3 linked regions of the Drosophila melanogaster genome follow. The protein of the gene in region 2 interacts with the protein of the main gene of each other region in a pairwise test. Each region holds a gene or a part of one and is shown on either strand. Other genes may lie near its edges. The genes, in order: SmD3, LSm7 and CG8204.

What was found.
Region 1: the proteins of LSm7 (region 2) and SmD3 interact in a two-hybrid assay, tested with the Drosophila melanogaster proteins (one large-scale study listed by BioGRID).
Region 3: the proteins of LSm7 (region 2) and CG8204 interact in a two-hybrid assay, tested with the Drosophila melanogaster proteins (one large-scale study listed by BioGRID).

The regions. Positions count from the first base shown.
Region 1 is NT_033778.4:12,165,976-12,172,219, reverse strand, and holds SmD3 (small ribonucleoprotein particle protein SmD3), read right to left. Parts: upstream 3,490-6,244; 5' UTR 3,344-3,489; coding exon 3,025-3,343; intron 2,663-3,024; exon of another isoform or gene 2,496-2,662; coding exon 2,359-2,495; 3' UTR 2,217-2,358; downstream 1-2,216.
Region 2 is NT_033779.5:16,740,315-16,745,984, forward strand, and holds LSm7 (uncharacterized protein), read right to left. Parts: upstream 2,787-5,670; 5' UTR 2,747-2,786; coding exon 2,732-2,746; intron 2,673-2,731; coding exon 2,355-2,672; 3' UTR 2,312-2,354; exon of another isoform or gene 2,129-2,311; 3' UTR 2,001-2,128; downstream 1-2,000. Other genes in the region: ChLD3 (chitin and LDLR binding deacetylase 3), read left to right, coding at 258-990, 1,052-1,574, 1,633-1,911; BuGZ (Bub3 interacting GLEBS and zinc finger domain protein), read left to right, coding at 3,216-3,250, 3,446-3,753, 3,810-4,071, 4,376-4,793.
Region 3 is NT_033778.4:15,571,572-15,577,354, forward strand, and holds CG8204 (uncharacterized protein), read right to left. Parts: upstream 2,421-5,783; 5' UTR 2,163-2,420; coding exon 2,095-2,162; intron 2,040-2,094; coding exon 1,879-2,039; intron 1,821-1,878; coding exon 1,618-1,820; 3' UTR 1,573-1,617; downstream 1-1,572. Other genes in the region: CG30466 (uncharacterized protein), read left to right, coding at 107-1,186, 1,242-1,355.

The sequences.
Region 1 (6,244 bases), on a different chromosome or scaffold from region 2:
ATGGAAACTACCTGGAAAATACCAAAATATCAAAGAGCTTGTTTACACAATTTTTTTTGACTTTGTTAATTGAGCTACAGATATTTGTTATTTGTTTAGACTGAAACATATGGAAAGATTGTCAATCAAAGCTGCAAAAAGCGAAGAAGCCTACGTCAGCAATTATAAAGTCCAGTTTATTGTCGATAAATGGTATTTTTATTAGTATTCGTTTGTAGTTATTGAGATGACCTCTGCTGTTCGTTTACATACTACGTATGTATGTATGTACCTGTATACATATACATATGTATTAAGAATAAAGATAACTCTTCACGTTGATTTCTACCCCGCTTTAGGTCCATACCTCTGCTTATATTAAGCAGACTTTTATTTATGGGACTTATCGCCAATATTATTAGCCATTTTTAGCCATTTATTTCGTTTGTTTTGGTACATTTGTTCGAAAAAAAAGCGGCAGACACGTGCAGCCTAAAAAATGTGGTGATGTTTTTGACTGAAATAGCGCCACAGAAAAAAAAAGAATTTCTCTTAGACTTTGTATATTAATTTTTATGGATATTTATAGCCGGCAGCTCTCTCCGTTTATTTTGTTTGCCCATTGCGACTTTGTGAATGCAAATGCTACGTGTGCCGGCATTTTTGCTTATAGTTATTTGCGCCTTATTTGTTTAGCGATTCACCCGTATTTTGTGGGAAGTAGGGGGCTCCATTTAACCTTGGGGCTCTGACTCACACCGCACCCCGATTCAGATCCACATCCCCTGACCGACCGGGTCGACTGTACCCGTGCTCTCCGGCACATTTGCATATCTGTCGGATAGAACTAGGCTATTATACATTTGTATGTATGTATGTACGTGTATGTAGATATATCGTGAGGCCTCCTAGTCGCTGCTACTTAATCAGATAGATAAATGATGCCGCCACCGTTTGGATGTCGTCAGTCGCCAGACAAACGCCCAGAGCACAGCACCACACAGATCATCAGCGAGCAGTCTCCACATCGCCAGTGGAGGAGAGGCACGGAAACCGGGCCGCCACATAACACACAGATATCCAATCGCCACATCTTTTCGATGTGAGTTCCAAGCTCCGCCGAAGGACCGACCGACCGAAGCAACGCAATCTGTGATAAAAGATAAAGAGCACATACCAGGAGACAGATAGTAGACTGCAGCTGTGATAAATCTCAACCGGAGACCAAATATTTAACTTGGCAATGACGACGTCTAGCGATATGGTGGCGCAGCCAGATAACCAGAAGATTCAGAACGAGAACCAGAAAATCTTGTGGTACGTCAGCATAGCCCCATCTTTTTTATTAATTGCGAAAGCATTTTCAATTGCCTTGCACACGTGCCATCGATTCGGGGAATTATTACTCTAACAAACCCCCCCACCCCCAGACACAGCCATAAATTGCATTCATTAGGCATTGAACCACATGCATCCAATCCATCTGCTGCTGCTGGTGGTCACTGTTCCCATTCAGGCCTCTATTTCGCTCAATTCACAATGCTCTGCCAAGTGCGCAGTTTGTTGATTTAATTGGCTTGGCAGAAAGGAAACCAACATAACAACAAAATGCCTGGCATATTTCGCACGTAGTCTGCCGGCAAACAATACACAAATGTACATATGTATGTACAATGTGTGGAAAGCATTTATATAGTATATAGGTATCTGTATGTATCTGTGCTGTCCACATTGAATGTCTGATTAACACCTAGAACGAACCAAATCGAATCCAAATGCGAATAAGTGAATAAAGAGAGCTGTCCGTCGACAGTCCAGAAACTATTTAATATCACTGTCATGGAATTGCTCTCTTTGTATAATATTCGACGATGCGCTGTGAGGCAATGAGACTAACCAAACGACTAAACCCAAGTTCCACATTCAGTTCGTCTGGCCTAACACTGTGTCCTGTCCGTTGAGGTGTTAGCTTAGATTTCCGCTTTCAGATCCTCCGCGAATTGTGAAATGAAGAGAGCTATCCGTCGACAGTCAAGTTAAGACCGATTGTAATACTGTCATGGAATTGCTCTCTTTGTATAACATTCGAAAGGCGACGATTATAAGATCGAATGAATCGAATTGGAGTGCTTAATTTTAAGCCAAACTTGTGAGCGTCCCCCTGGTTATGGTGTCTAATCCCTTCCCACCTTTCAGGTGCTTACTTTACTTAGACAACAAACAACGTCTGCCTCTTTCAAATTCAAGTTTCAAGTGTATTCTCGGCTGCTCTGCCCGATAAATACTTTACAAAAAACATCTGGAGAAGTTCGACCCGCCCGCTAATAATATGATGCCCGCAACTTAGAGAATAGAAATGCGTTGTTCAGTAGGCAGTTCCTACAGGCCGCCGCGTCCTCGACCGCCGGTTGGTCCTCCCTGCCATGCTCCGCGTCCGCCGCTGCCGCCGGGAGCTCCTGGCGGTCCACCAGTGCCCCTTCCGCCGCCCGGAGGTCCGCCTCTTCCTCTGCCACGAGCTGTAAGGGAAATGTCGTTTTTAATAATTGCATTTCGCTGAGGGCCTCACATACACTGCACGACTGTCTTTAAAAACAAAATTCATTTCTAGATTTCACTGCACATGGCTTTATAACATTTTTTTTTTTAGTTTTTGCTTTCTAAAAATAAACATATACACAAACTTACTACCTTAGCATGTTTCTTATTTTACCCATACGTTAATACTTTAAATTTTGAAATTAATGAATTAAATGGGAGGGATATGATTTGACGAAAACTATCAGCTCAGTTTTTAAAACAAACTAAACCCTGCATTAATATATTTTTTGTAGCACTATTTATACATATTAAATTCTATAAATTTTACTACCATTTTTTTTACTATCATAAAAATTGTATGGTATTTGGATTATTAAATTGGGATAGCAAATATTTTAGTTAAATTTAGAAGTTAAACGAGAGCATAGAAAATATTTTGTTTTTAAAGGCAGTCCGTGCAAAAAGTGAATGTGTATGTGTGTGTGTGGGCCAAAGTGCCCAACTCACCCTGTGCGCGCAGAATGGCCGCCTTGCCCCGTCCCGCCGTCCCACCAAGTCCCTTGCCCGTCTGCTTCTTGAACATCGGGGCATTTTTCAGCATGTCGGGCAGTATAAGGAATCGGATCTTGGAGCCGCGAATGTAGACGTTCTCCAGGTTGGCGGTGCGTCCGTCTCGGTAGGTCACCGTGATCTGGGTCATTTGGCAGTTCATGTTGTCCTCCGCCTCGATGAGTTTGCCGCGGTACACCTCGCCGGTGATGGTTTCGCAAGTGATTATGTGGCCCTCGGCCTCGTGCAGAACTTTAATGGGCACTCCGATAGACATGTTCGCTAGCTTGGTGTGTTGCTGTCTGTTCTTGTTCGTTCAACTATATATTTTTCACTGTTTTTTTTTCCACCGAAACCGCTAAATTTTTTCTCCGTTTTTCTTTGTGCAAGCGTTTATGCCGAGTGTTTGCGAGTGTATGTGTTTGCGTGCTCGCTCCCGCTTTGACAGCTGCCGGCGGCCATCTTGTGGTGAAATTGGTGGTGCGTGAGCGCAGGGCTGCATGCGCTGCGTGACTATCGGAAACAGCTTATCGGTTTGCCGATAAGGCGCGCGGGCGTATCTTATCGCTTTAAAATAAACAACTGCAATTTGTTAGCGTCATAAAAGCGAAATAATTAAATTGTCGCCGCTTCGCTGATAAGCCTTTCGTTCTGCCTTCGTGGCCATCAGTTTGTTAGCAGCTTTTGCGACGTTCAGTTACCAATTGAGTTTTACTCTACACCATGTTGTGGTAAAGATTTCGGGTTTATAAATTCAATTCATAATTCACATAAGTAATTTGTAAATGGGAAATAATCTTTATAAAAACATGGGAATATTCGCTATATGCTTGCCATTAAAAAGGGGATATAAACTTTCCAACAGATGGAGTTGCGCTACAAAATCGAACAGGCACATCGCAGTTCGATATGGGGTTTTTTTGACTAAATACCCAATTTTTTTTCCACAGCGACCCAGTGTTTAGTAGTGGCTTCGTTAGAAGAGAATTTAATGACAGCGGAATTGCCGACGGCAAGCTCCGCACCATCTCGACTTCGTCTTGCGCCACGACCATGTCCTCGGAGTCCTACCGCATCTCTCTCGGCGTAGGGCCTCTGTGGTGGTCCTGATGTCCCTGTCCACCACAGAACAGATCACGATAGGGCATCGCTCTTGACGGGTGAGTAATAATAACTAACCATTTAAGTACTTATTATGCTAAAATGTGTTAATTCCTTCCGTGTAGGCTACAGCCGTAAGTCTTCGGTCGACTCGGCTGGTGGCAGCCTGTACGAGGCCAGCTCCCGGGCGTCGTCGTTGTCGTCCTCCCAGTCGGATTGCTCCGACTTGGAGTCGCAGCCCGACATCCACTCGCTGTGCTCGGACGATGACTGCCAGGAAGTGCTGCGCCAGATCTTGCAGCACGACCAGCCGGTGCAGATCACCATCAAGCTGCATGTCACCGAGGACCAGTACACCAATTGGAATACGATTCTGAACCCAGTCAACAACTTGTTGTATGTCGCTCTACCGAAGGACCTTCCTCCGGCCGGCTCCAAGCAGACCTTCATCTCGCTTCTGGAGTTCGCCGAGGAGAAGCTGGAGGTGGACGGCATCGTTATGGTAATGCCTAAAGATCAGCCGGATCGAGCTCGCCTCATCGAGGCGTTCCTCTTCATGGGCTTCGAGCCGCTGTCCAGGAAGGCACCGCAGGCACCGCCGGCTGCCATTAACGACAACGAGAACTACTACTTCCTCTACAGCATCGAGGAGTAGTTCGTCGGCAAGGGGACGATTTTCGCCACAGAAACGAAACAAAGAAGAAGTAATATCAGTAGCAATCCAATATTCTGTTTCGTAGTTTCCGCAAATAACTTTTATTAGCCAGCCGTAGATACAATGACATATTGAGCTCAATATGTGTTCAGTGAAAATCAGCAAATCAATCCTTTTTGAATCTTCGCGTTGTTTATGTAGTCGAAAATCGTTTTGAAAATTGTCTTCGGAGCGGCTTCATTTTTGGTAGACTTTCAATTATGGCCAGCCACGTTAAGAGCCTGATCGCAAATTACTATATTAAACTATATCCAACAACAACAAAAATCGAACGAAAACGTAAAAAAAAGTAGAAAACTAAAAAATGTCAAAAAAAAAACAAAACAAAACAAAGGAATGTATTAATCCTAAGTTTATTCGTGAATCAATATTTTTTATTTATGTTTTCATGTCTAATCAACATATATATTTTCTTCATGTTTTTTCTATATATTTTATGTTTAAGCTTATATATGAAGTATTGTAATCCCAATTTGTTCGCACTTAAAAATATTCAATATATTTTTATTCACTTTTTGTACGCCGAAAGCGACGAGAACGGCGAGGTAGAAGTTTTGAAGGATAGAAAGGGAAACGCATATGCATAGAAGCTAATTACATAGATCAGCAAAAAGGATCCACATACACGCTATATCCAATATTAATAAACTTATTAATCAATAGATTCCACACCGCAAGCAAGCAAGCGAAAGCAGTTCTTTTATTTATACCACTTTGTATGTATCATTTTCTTGATTCCAATAATAAAACATATGACTTAACAAAATTATTGAATTGTCGGCCGGATTATTAAATTATTTCGTTTACGACGCTCGCGTTTAGTGCGCATTATTATTGTTTATTGAAAGTATCTCGAGTGGAACTTGGTCGAGACTTATGATTAAATTTATACACCCAATTGCCTCACCTTCCTTTCGCAGATAAGAGAGATTTTATATGTATTTCGTCTACTGTTTAAAAAGTGACCCAATACGATTGTTAGAGATAAGTCTGCACAGTTTGTCACTTGAAGATAAGTAGTTATTGGAAAAACGGGGGCTCCTAAATTAATAAAAAAAAGCGTGAGATTTGACATCATCGCCAATATCAATTGGATTTCAGCAGTCATTCATTGAAATGAAGAGCCAGTTTAAAAATCAAAGTGTCATGATCACATTAAGCTTTAAATGTAATTATTGCACTTTTGGCTTCAATGATTCAAAAGCATAGCTACATTTCTAAAGAATATTAACCAATCCATATATAGTAACTTACAGAGAGTTATGCTTTGTATCTGTATCTATGATTTGATGAGCCTGATAGATAGTATCTCAAGTTGACTACTCTTTCCGATTAAATTGTAAAGTTTTGGGTAATATTTTT
Region 2 (5,670 bases):
CGTGGGTTTTTTTTTTGTTTTTTGTCGTCTTGCTCCGTAATAGTTGACTACTATTGGCAACTATGCGCACCACCCATTTCAGTGCGTGATTGGTATCCAGCTGGAAAAAAGCAAAAATATTTCTGCAAGCGGCTAATTTTGGGCTGACGTGAGCGGTTTCGTTTTTGGGTCAATGCATTAATCAGTAATCAGTCTCCTTGTTAATTACACACGGCTATCTCACACCCAGTTTCTTTTTTTGTGTGCCTGCTTTGCAGACAATGATGGAATAGTCGGCAACCAAACTCGGCATCGTCGCTCGACCTCCGGCGCAGCCAGTTGCATGCAAGATGCACGCTTCTACCGCAACCCCAACAGGCCGGTCCACAAGATCTGGACGAACAGCGAGTGCGCCAAGTATTTCCTCTGCCTCGACGGTGAGGTGTTCGAATTCAAGTGCTCCGAGGGATTGCTCTTCGATGTGGTGCGTCAGATCTGCGACTTCAAGGCGAATGTGGACAATTGCGATGTCAGCGCGGAGACGCCGGCTCCAAAACCACTACTGGAGATGGCCGACTGTGCGGATGAATACCAGTTGGGCTGCGCCGATGGTACCTGCCTGCCGCAGGAGTACTTCTGCGATGGTTCGGTAGACTGTCCCGACGGCTCCGACGAAGGCTGGTGCGATGTGGAGCACGATCCGAATGCGGCTGGTGCCTGTGATCCGCGAAAGTGCCATTTGCCGCAGTGCTTCTGCTCGAAGGATGGCACCCAGATACCCGGCAGTCTTCCGGCACAGAGTGTTCCGCAGATGATACTGTTGACCTTCGACGATGCCATCAATCACGATAACTGGGAGCTGTTCTCCAAGGTTTTGTTCACACAGCACAGGCGAAACCCCAACGGGTGTCCCATTAAGGGCACATTCTACGTTTCACATCCGTTTACCAACTATCAGTATGTGCAGAAGCTTTGGAACGATGGTCACGAGATCGCAGTGCACTCAGTAACGTAAGTTGTTGATCAGCCTGTAAATTATTTAAAATTGAAATTTCACTTTTATTGATTAAAGGCATCGTGGCCCAGAGATGTGGTGGTCCAAGAATGCCACAATTGAGGATTGGTTCGATGAGATGGTTGGCCAGGCGAATATAATCAATAAGTTCGCAGCGGTACGAATGGAGGAGATTCGTGGCATGAGAGTACCCTTTCTGCGCGTCGGCTGGAATCGACAGTTTCTCATGATGAAGGAGTTTGGCTTCGTGTACGATTCATCCATGGTTGCGCCGCATTCGAATCCTCCTCTGTGGCCCTACACCTTGGACTACAAGATGCCGCACAGCTGCACGGGCGTAAATCAGAATTGCCCGTCTAGGAGTTATCCGGGCATTTGGGAGCTGGTTATGAACCAACTGGAAGTGGGCGAGTATATGTGCGGCATGGTGGACACGTGTCCGCCGCATTTGAGCGGCGAGGATGTGTACAGAATGCTCACGCACAACTTCAAGAGGCACTACCTCAGCAATAGGGCACCATTTGGCCTGTATTTCCATTCGACTTGGTTCAAGAAAGTCGACTATCTGAATGCATTTCTGGTGAATATTCGAATTGTTACCCATAATACTAGATCTTCATTCCTTCCTGATCATTTAGAAATTCCTCGACGATCTGCAAAAGCTGCCGGATGTGTTCTTCGTGACTAACCAGCAGGCGATTCAGTGGATGCGCCATCCCACGCCCAGCAACCAGCTGCACCAATTCGAGTCCTGGCACTGCCAACCGAAGGACTTGGATCCCCACGAGCAGGTCTGCAACACGCCGAATGTGTGCAAGGTGCGTAGTCGGGTGCTGCAAGAGGATCGATTCTTCTACACTTGCATGGAGTGTCCTGCCCAGTATCCCTGGATTCGCAACGAGTTCGGCTTGGACTAAGGTGATAGCCCGCTTGACACTATAGGGCTCTGCGCAAGGCGCTTTGATATATCCATAATGTTTGGAGCGTTCCATAAGTAATTGGATAAGATTGATACAATTTTAGGTTTTAATTGTTTAGAAAAATTAATATTTATAAATTGGATTACGCATATTTAGATGATTCAGCTTTCAAAATCTGACCGTAAGCAAACCCGTAGATAACTTCGTAACATACCTGAAGAGGATAAAGTGCATTAATTTAAAATCGGAACACTCTGAATTTTATGGAGAAGCTTAAACAATTTCGCGGGCTCATAAACGTGGTACTTTGCGGCCTGATTAGATTTTAAGAACTAATTTATACGTATGTATGTCTCCGCTAAATATATTTAAACCGATTTCCAAAAGAGCTTTGTACTTAGTCTACATTCTGGAACGCATCCCAGCCACAAAACCTTGGACTATTGCGTTATAAACGGATTGGCGATGCTCTCGACTCCGTCTTGCGGACAAATGAGGACGAGGGCTGTGCCGCGACAGACGACCAGTCCCAGGCTGCGGGTCTGCTCCTCGGTCAGTTTGTAGGGCTCATCCGAGTCGCGCAGATACTCCACCGTGTTGTCCAGCACCAGATTGAGCAGCGCATCGTAGCCCTTGAGGATTCCGGATGCCTCGCGGCCGCCCGCGAATTTCACGCGGATCTGTTTCTCCAAGTACTTGGAGAGGTCCAGAATGGACTCCTTGCGGCGCTTCTCCTTACCGTCATTGTTGCCACCCACCTGACAAGTCACGATTTTGATGATTAAGCACCACAATGTAGTTATTCTATTTAATTTACCTTTTTATCTGCCATTATTCTGTTTTTGGTAAATGCCGGCTGGTAAAGAGTGACCAAAGCATATTTTTTTAGAAATACACCAAATAAGGCGCTACTAGCCAGCAGATGGCGCTGGTGAAGTAATCTTATGGGCCGCGCTTTTTGAGGTACATAATCGATAATAATGGAATAAACATATGTAAGAATTAATGTTATTTGAAAAATATGACAACAAAGTTCTCTTATTTCTACTGTCATCATTGTGAAATTATTTTCTTACCTTTTGCTATTGAGGCGAACATATCAATTTATTTGTATAATAATTATTATATTGGTTTAAGATATCGATAAGATTCATTTATTTGTATCGATATGCTGGTCACTCTGACTGGCTCTCCATTTTGTTTTCCACGACAGAGCAATTTTTAGTACAACAGATTGTTATCTTCTACCAATTACCGGATCGATTTTGTACATTTAAGTGTTTTAAAGCCACCTTAGGATCATGGGACGCAAGAAGAAGAAGGCCTCCAAACCCTGGTGCTGGTATCCTTTTCGCAAAACAAAGATATAAATATTTTTTCACTGCATGTGCCGCTCGCTGTATCTGCACATACACACACATTTATATAATGGTATTGGGTTGGGGGTAGATACACACACACATGTATATGCATACTGGCTACAACGCCGCATCCCCGTGAATTTTCCTTAACTCTTAACGCAAAAAACTAGGTACTGCAACCGTGAGTTCGATGACGAAAAGATCCTTGTGCAGCACCAGAAGGCCAAGCACTTCAAATGCCACATCTGCCACAAGAAGTTGTACACCGGACCCGGACTATCCATACACTGCATGCAGGTGCACAAGGAAACGGTGGACAAGGTCCCCAACTCGCTGCCCAATCGCTCAAATATTGAAGTCGAAATCTTTGGCATGGACGGCATTCCCGCCGAGGATCTCAGGGATCACGAACGTCAGAAGAATGGTGGCAAGTCTGATTCGGACGATGATGAACCGGTGGCCAAAAAGAAAGTAGAATGTAAGTGATCAGCAAACTGTATTGTATACAAAATCGCTATACAACATTCATTGCAGATGCCATGAGTGTACCGCCGCCTATGATGATGCCCCCGAACATGATGCCACCGCACATGCTGGGGCAGTACGGCATGGGCATGATGCAGCACATGCCGCCACTGCCTCCGTATCCAGTGCCCATGATGCCGCACATGATGCCTCCGCGTCCTTTGTTTCCAGCCGCCATGGCCACAACATCGGCGGCAGCTGCTGCGGCGGCGGCCCATCATCACCACGCCGCCGCCATGGCTCAACAAAAGCCAACATTTCCAGCGTACAGGTTAGCATCGTTAGGGGAAGACCATATAAGAATCCTTCCAATTTTTTTTTCTAAAGCTAGCAGTTAGACGTAGAGCCCTGTTAATAATCTTTTTTTTTTAAACGATTCGTATGTAAATTCAGTTTTGGGGGTATTTTAGGTGAAATACTTTCTACTCCAAATAATTGTTCACATTGGCACATTTTTAATGGTTTTCCCCTATTAAACATAGTTGTGAAGCAAGTCAAATGACTTATTATTAGGCTTAATCCTAAGAATTTGTTTTTAACTAACGTAAATCAATTATTTCTTCTTTTTGCTAAAGTAATGCTACCATAAGTGCTCCGCCTACCACCAATCATGCTGGTGGCGCATCCAGCGCACCACCAAGTGGTCCGCCAGATGCTCAGCAACACCAGCAGCGACCTCCAGCTCCACCGGCGGCAAGCGGAACTTCCGCTGCTGCTGTGACCACAAAGATTATGCATCCACAGGAGGACCTGAGTCTGGAAGAATTGCGCGCGCGCCAACCGAAAATACAAGCACGGTTGGCGGCCGCTTTGGCTTCACTGGCGAATCCACAAAGTCGCAAGAGTCCCAGCAACAATGGTGGCCCCTCTACGTCGATTCCCACCACTCCGCCGCCCCCGTCGCTGGCCGGGATCTCGCCCACGGGTAGCAATAGCAGCAGTGGCATGGCTAACTCGATTGTCGTCTCCGCAGCCATGTCGAAGGCCCAGGAAGTGAGTTCTTATCATAGTTATAGAAACCATAGTCAATATAAATAAACAGACCGTGACGGAAACGACTTCCACTGATTAACAGGAAATGACAAGCACAACGGACTGAAACGAGGACGTGTAAAAAAGACAATTTCCTCCAAAAAAAGAAAAATAATGAAAGAATAAATGTAATTGCACATAAAAAAACCTGACCCAATTTCGACTGCATTTTAAGAGAATGCATTCAGCATTCTAACAGAATTCCATTTTTCCAAACTGGACACTTTTATACATTTACTCTGCGCAGATCGCAAATTGCGACAGCGGAAGTTACGTTTAGACGACCACAGCGTACGAGAGCAAACAGATTACGAGAATCACACAATACGAAACAACATTAAAAAGAAAAGAAAACTTTTTTTAGCATATAGTATGATATATGTCTGTACAATTTTTAATTAAAAAAAATTAATGGCAACAAAACAAATGAAACGGCGGTTTTCAATTTAATTAATTTGATTTAAAACATTTTACCTCAACACATAGAGAACTCGATAGAAGGGAAAAGCAAGGTTTCGCATTGTCTTGGCCCTAAAAGTAATCTCCATCAATGTGATATGCCAACACATGTGCTAGTTTTGTATCTTAAAGGTAAAGCGGAAGCAGCTGAAATGCAATTCACATGCCCACTGATAAATAGTGAAATTCTTTATAGCGGGTGGGCTGATTTAATTGGATCATAGGGGCAGGTTTGAAGCCAGCTTGCTTAGTATGTTTTAGAAATCTATGTAGTCGGTTCCATACACGCTTAGGAAGCGTTTTTTACATCAAGCGCAGGCTAAAAACTCATTTTTAAATAGGGAATCTTAAATTAGATGATTACTTTAATTCTTGATAT
Region 3 (5,783 bases), on a different chromosome or scaffold from region 2:
CGAATATAGACCGACAATGATAAACACCGATCTTATGGTACCGCAATGCAACAATATAGCAGAAATATAAGTATACAAGTTTCCTAATTTCTTTTGCCCTTTGCAGAATACCAAGCCTGGCTTACTATGTCTGCCCGATGATGTTCTAATGATAATTCTAAGTTATCTCGACTTGAAGACCCAACTAAAACTGAAAGACTTTCATTTCCGGTTTAAGAAATTAATGCCGTATGTGTGGCGTGCTTATAACAAATGTGCATATATATCCTTGATTGAAATGCAGCTGAGCGACAAGGATTTGCTATTCTTCCTGGAAAGTACTCAACAAATCCTCAGCACTCTGCGGCTCAAAATGAATAATAGATCTAACTTCGAAACACTTACCAGCTGTAGTTTTCCAAAACTTAAAGATTTTCGATTTTCCACGCATTCGTTTAACTTAAACGATGCGGACGTGCCAAGAATGTTGAAAACTTTTCCAAATCTGACAACTTTTAGCCCCCATGGAAAGTTTACTGGCAAACACTTTGATGAATTCGAGTTTCTCGAGAACCTCACGGTCTCCTACTGCAGCAAATTCAATGTCACCAACTTGATACAGATCCTGAAAACCAGAAAAATAAAATCCCTGAAGCTGGGTATCTTCGATATTGACCAGATTTCGAACACAGAACTGCCCTGGAAAGGGATTAGAAACCTAGAGCAGCTGCAGTGCTTCCAGGAGGAAATGATGGTGTGGTTCCTATCGAAACTGGAACGTCTAACTCACTTGAAGAAGCTATTTCTTTGTGGTCACGTTAGATACGGATTTCTGAGAGAGATTCTCATAGCTGCGAAGAGAAGCACTATAAATATGATCGAGATAAGCCAAAATACATCCATATTTTGTGAAACTTACGGTTTAAATGTGGCTATTAAGACCCTAAAGGTGGCTAATTTTGGTATGCATGCGTATCAGCATCTTCACATTAATGTCAATGAATTTTATATACAAAATTCGGTTTGTGTGGACGAAATTAAGTTTCATACCTTAATACAAAACCTAAACACACACGAGGTCCTGGGTATATACCATTGCACCTTCGGATTTAAGGAGTTCACATTCGATGCGAAGAAACTGGGAGAAAACCGTACCACAGCACTTAATATTTATGTGGAACTAAACACGTATCTCATGTCTAATGAGGTCTAAGTATTTCACAACTTATATTAGCTTTCGTTTCTAATATTTTTCATTACAGGATCCCATCCCCATGACCTGGAAAGTGCAAGGGGAACATAGGCTTTTCAAGTTGCACATGAAGCATCCAAAAATCACTTTTAACTCGGATCCAGTTTCAATTTACTTTGATTGAGTTTGATTGCCAAGGAACGAAGCTGTAGACTGATGACTAGTTTGATATGCCAGCTGAGATAGATAACTTTAAATGGCCGAGCCAAATAATTAGTTGTACGTTTTCCCTGGTTATGGAAAAGATTCAACCTTACCGGCGGATTTCAATGAGAAGTTTCCAGGAGTTCTTCAATGCAAGCTCCTCTAGAAGCTGCCAAGGATTGACAGTACTATTAGTTACAAAATAAAGGCTTAGTTTTATTGAGACTGTGTGTCAACTTAATTCAGGAGTACAACTCAAATTCAGTGCGCTCAGCATCCGTCATCGGTTCGACGACTTGAAGGCAGGCATTAGCGAACTCCACGAAGAGTGGCTCCTGCATGGCGGCCATCATGGCCGACTGGGCATTGATGGCCACATCAATCTGCTGGAGCAGCGAACGCAGGTGTGGATTGTGGAGCAAATTACGCAGTTCCTGGCAGTTTTCTGTACGGAAACCATCATACTATGAGAAATGTGTATAATTGCGAATTTAAACACCTACCTAGTTGCTGGAGCTTCTCCGCGGCAACTGTGTCGTCGGTGGGGAAGGGCACATGAAGCGTAGGTTCCTCCTGGTAGCCAACTTCAGTCTTTTTCAAGTCGGACTCCCTTGTCGCACATTGGGGCGAATCCCTGTGTGTCTTATAACAAGCCACAGAGCAGCTACATTTTGCGACATTTATTATCTCCGTAGTGAACTGTTCGAATAGCTACTTACTAGGGTGCCGAGCATTTGCTGCACTTGTATTTTCTCAAGTTATCTACGCAAATAATGCATTTTTCCATCTCATCAAATTCAATGTCGCGTGCAAAATAAAACTCAGCTGTGCGAGTTTTATAGCCTCCAGCTTTTGCCTCTATCGAGGGTTCCAAGCCGTTTCTGCTCCACTGGAACGGCGTTATGTTTTTGGAGGTAAACAATCAAAAAGTTAAATGCAAAACGCAAGCAGAATAATATTAAAATGCGCATAAGATCGCGGGGCTGCATGTTAATTTAGTGAGAAAACAAAACTAGTGGAGTTCTACGACGAGTGTGTTGAAACGAATCCCATAGCTTAGTTAGATTGTTCTGTAGCTGCCAGCCTTCGTCAACAGATGAATTCTATCTTTGGCGCCATTACTTTTAATTTGAATTTGAACAATTTGCTGGAACAAATAAAATGTTCATCATCAACATTCAATTTTGCTCATCATAAATAAGTAAATACTTTATATAGTCAGAAAGCTTCAATCTACTGTATCTGTATCTCACTGACTTACATATTGAAAACGTTTAAAGATTATCCACAGGTATTTTAGTTATTAACCATACGATTAGCGGAGTGTTTGGTCAGATTGAGGAAGACATAGAGTCGTCCTGCCCTTTTCCGGTTACGAATAGCCTTATTTGATTGAATGTATCCTGTGTATCCGGTCTGTTTGCTTTGGCCAGTCTCATTTATGGGCCATCCCGGGCACGTCATCTTCCGTGAGGCTTCCGAGCAAACAAACGAGGAACGCTTATCATTGCCCTCCCATTTTTCCGCCCCAAAGCCTCCCAATCCTTTCCCCCCGCCGCCGATGGCAATGCGCAGTCTGAAGCCACCTGGCGAATTAACCGAGAATTCGACAAGCGCGAGGGGAGCAATCAAATGACGGTCGGCGTGTCCGCAAATTGTAAACATATCCTGCACACGGAACGTACTGAAACGGAACGGTCCTTCCCGGGAAGGAGTCGTTCAGATCCGCTCCAGCTCCAAAGACAAGTACAGTACAACCAGAAGTAAAAATAAGTACAACAGTGAGGCTCGATTGGTTAACCGAAGCATGGAATGCCCTTTGTTATTAAGCTTTCTTTCTAATGAAAACGTGTTATGTGTATGCACAATATATAGTCCTAAAAAGTAGGTTTAGTTGCAAGAGAAACATCTCATTTATATGGCCATATTCAGCTATGAAATATACACATATAGATGTGTGTCATTAAGATTTGATAATAATGATAGTCCTATAGGTAATGTCATTGGGTTATAACTTCTTACAGTCCTGTATACGATAACTACACCCATTGAGATCCTTCGTGTCCTGCTCCTAGTCTGAGCCGTAATAACCTCTGCGAGGGTATGGCAAACAGCGAAAAACTTTTGGTGGCAATAAATGACTTCAATGACTGACTGACTGACCGGATGGGGTGGTCTAGGTGCATGGCTATACTCGTATATGAATCGTTTTTTTTCTTCTTGTTTCTGTTGCCATATTTTGGGGGACTTGTAGCCGGGACTGGTTGTTGTTATTTTCAATCGTTTTTGCTTTGTTTTCTGAGCGCTACCAATTGGATTGCACAAAGAAAAACGAGTGGTACAAAAGAAAGCAAAGGATGCAGGCTAACAAAGAGTTTGGGGATGTGGAAGGTCTGGGGAATCGGGCCGGGTAACATGATGTGGCGCCTCTGCCGCTTCCGCTGTTCGTGAGGCACAAGCGCGATAATTGCCAGCGTTATCCGCTCGGCCTGCCAGTCAAATAGGCGCAGCAGCAGAGGCGCTGGCAAGCAGCGGCTATCGGCGGTGGCAGGGATTTCGGGGGGGCAGGAAGACCCTTCGTGTGACTCGCCTACTTTTGATTTACAACATTCGTGCAACATCAGCAGCAGTGTATCGCCAAAAGGAAAAGGGGCGACCAATGCAAACAGCAAGAAGAAAAGCGAGACACACGCCACCAAATGGGGCGAAAGTTTCTCGCGGGGTGCAGTAGTGGCATTTTCCGAGGGCAGGTGTCGTTCGTTAGGAGTTTTCAGCGTTTTTCATTCCCAGCTTTTCCCAGTTACCAAATACCAACTACCAACTACCAACTACCAGTTACCAGCTAGCCGCCAGCGAAAAAGCCAAAAGCGATATTAATAGATAGCGGCACTTTTCGCTTCGTTTTTATCGCCCGAAAAGCCAAACGAGGAAAACACTGGAAGGTGGAAAAATAAGGGGGCAGATAGTCCTGGCAATTGGGCAGATTGACAGATCATGCAATCGTAGTGGCACAGCGTTTATAGTGCATATAATGAATATTAAATTACATGCAACACATATGGCTTTGGCAGTCGAACTTCCTTAGCGCGAATGTACTTTTTTCAAAAAGGTTTGGTTCTTGTGGAGGCAGTTTTTTATCATACTAACCACAAAGTGTTGCACAGCAAAGGTTTAAATCCCTATAAATATATCTATTATGCAACATGTCAAGTGGAGATTGTATGTCCCATAGATTCTTAATCTTTAATAATGGTTATTTTCCGTATAGCGATGATCGCCTGTAGTCCTTCCAGGTAGTTGGATTCATATTGGGTGATAGCAGGCATGCAAACGCGACATCTGCAAGCATATTCGATTGGAATTCACCGGAGTATTGGAGATAGTGGACTAGTGGGTCATCAAATGGATTCGAAAATAATTCGAAATGCCGAACGGATGCCGGGGAACATTAACTATCAGCAGGAGACCACGATGCACGGAGGGATGGAATGGAAGGGCTGCGAGGACTATATGAATCCCAATGGCTTGTAATTTATAACGCAATCACGTGCCACATTCGACGTCGACGAGCAAAAGCAAAGGCGCCAAAAATATGAATATATATATGAAACGAGAGCGACTAAATAATTTGGAAATGATTTACAATATGACCGGGACGAGAATGGACGGAGGCACAGCGATTCCGGAGGTTCATAAATCTAACTGCATGACGAAAAGATGCAGTCCTAGAGTCCACCGCTTTGATTGATGGCAGCGGCCTGCAAACACTTCGCGCCTTGGCCATTTGTCTTCCGCCGCTGCGGCTCTAGTTGCTCATTCCCGATCCTGCTGCTCCTCCTGCCCCATCTCTTCGAGCTTATGTTGCAGATAACACTGCACATCCTAAGAGGTAGCTCAACTCATTGGCGGAGTTTGATGGAACAGGCTGAGTTAGCCGAATATGGATGTAGAATATTGAAGCTTTAGCTTAAGCTTCAATAGAATGCCTGATATTGATTTAATAAAGTGTATAGTGGGAATTTTGAAAATATTTGCTTTGTATCAATCAAGCTCATGCGCCTCTAAATCCTTTTCCCATGAGTGAAACGGATCTTGGAATTGTTAGAGCAACTAATCGCTGCCTTGGGCAACCTATACTTGTTACATACGCCACGTTTTTATTTTGACTTTGGCTACTCTTTTTTTTTTGTTTGCCGCTTGGTGCCTTAATTAAAAAGCTGCAGGCCGCTTTAGAAGTTGCAACGCGAAGTGAGGGAGGGGAGCACAAGGAGGAGGAGAAGGAGGAGGAGGCAAGTAGCGGGTCCGCCGGGGTATTTATGACTTGGCACGCAACGGACGGAGCATGATTTACGGTTTCTACGGCTTCGGTTTATTGAGAGGCGCCACAGGCAGCGGCGGATGCAATAGA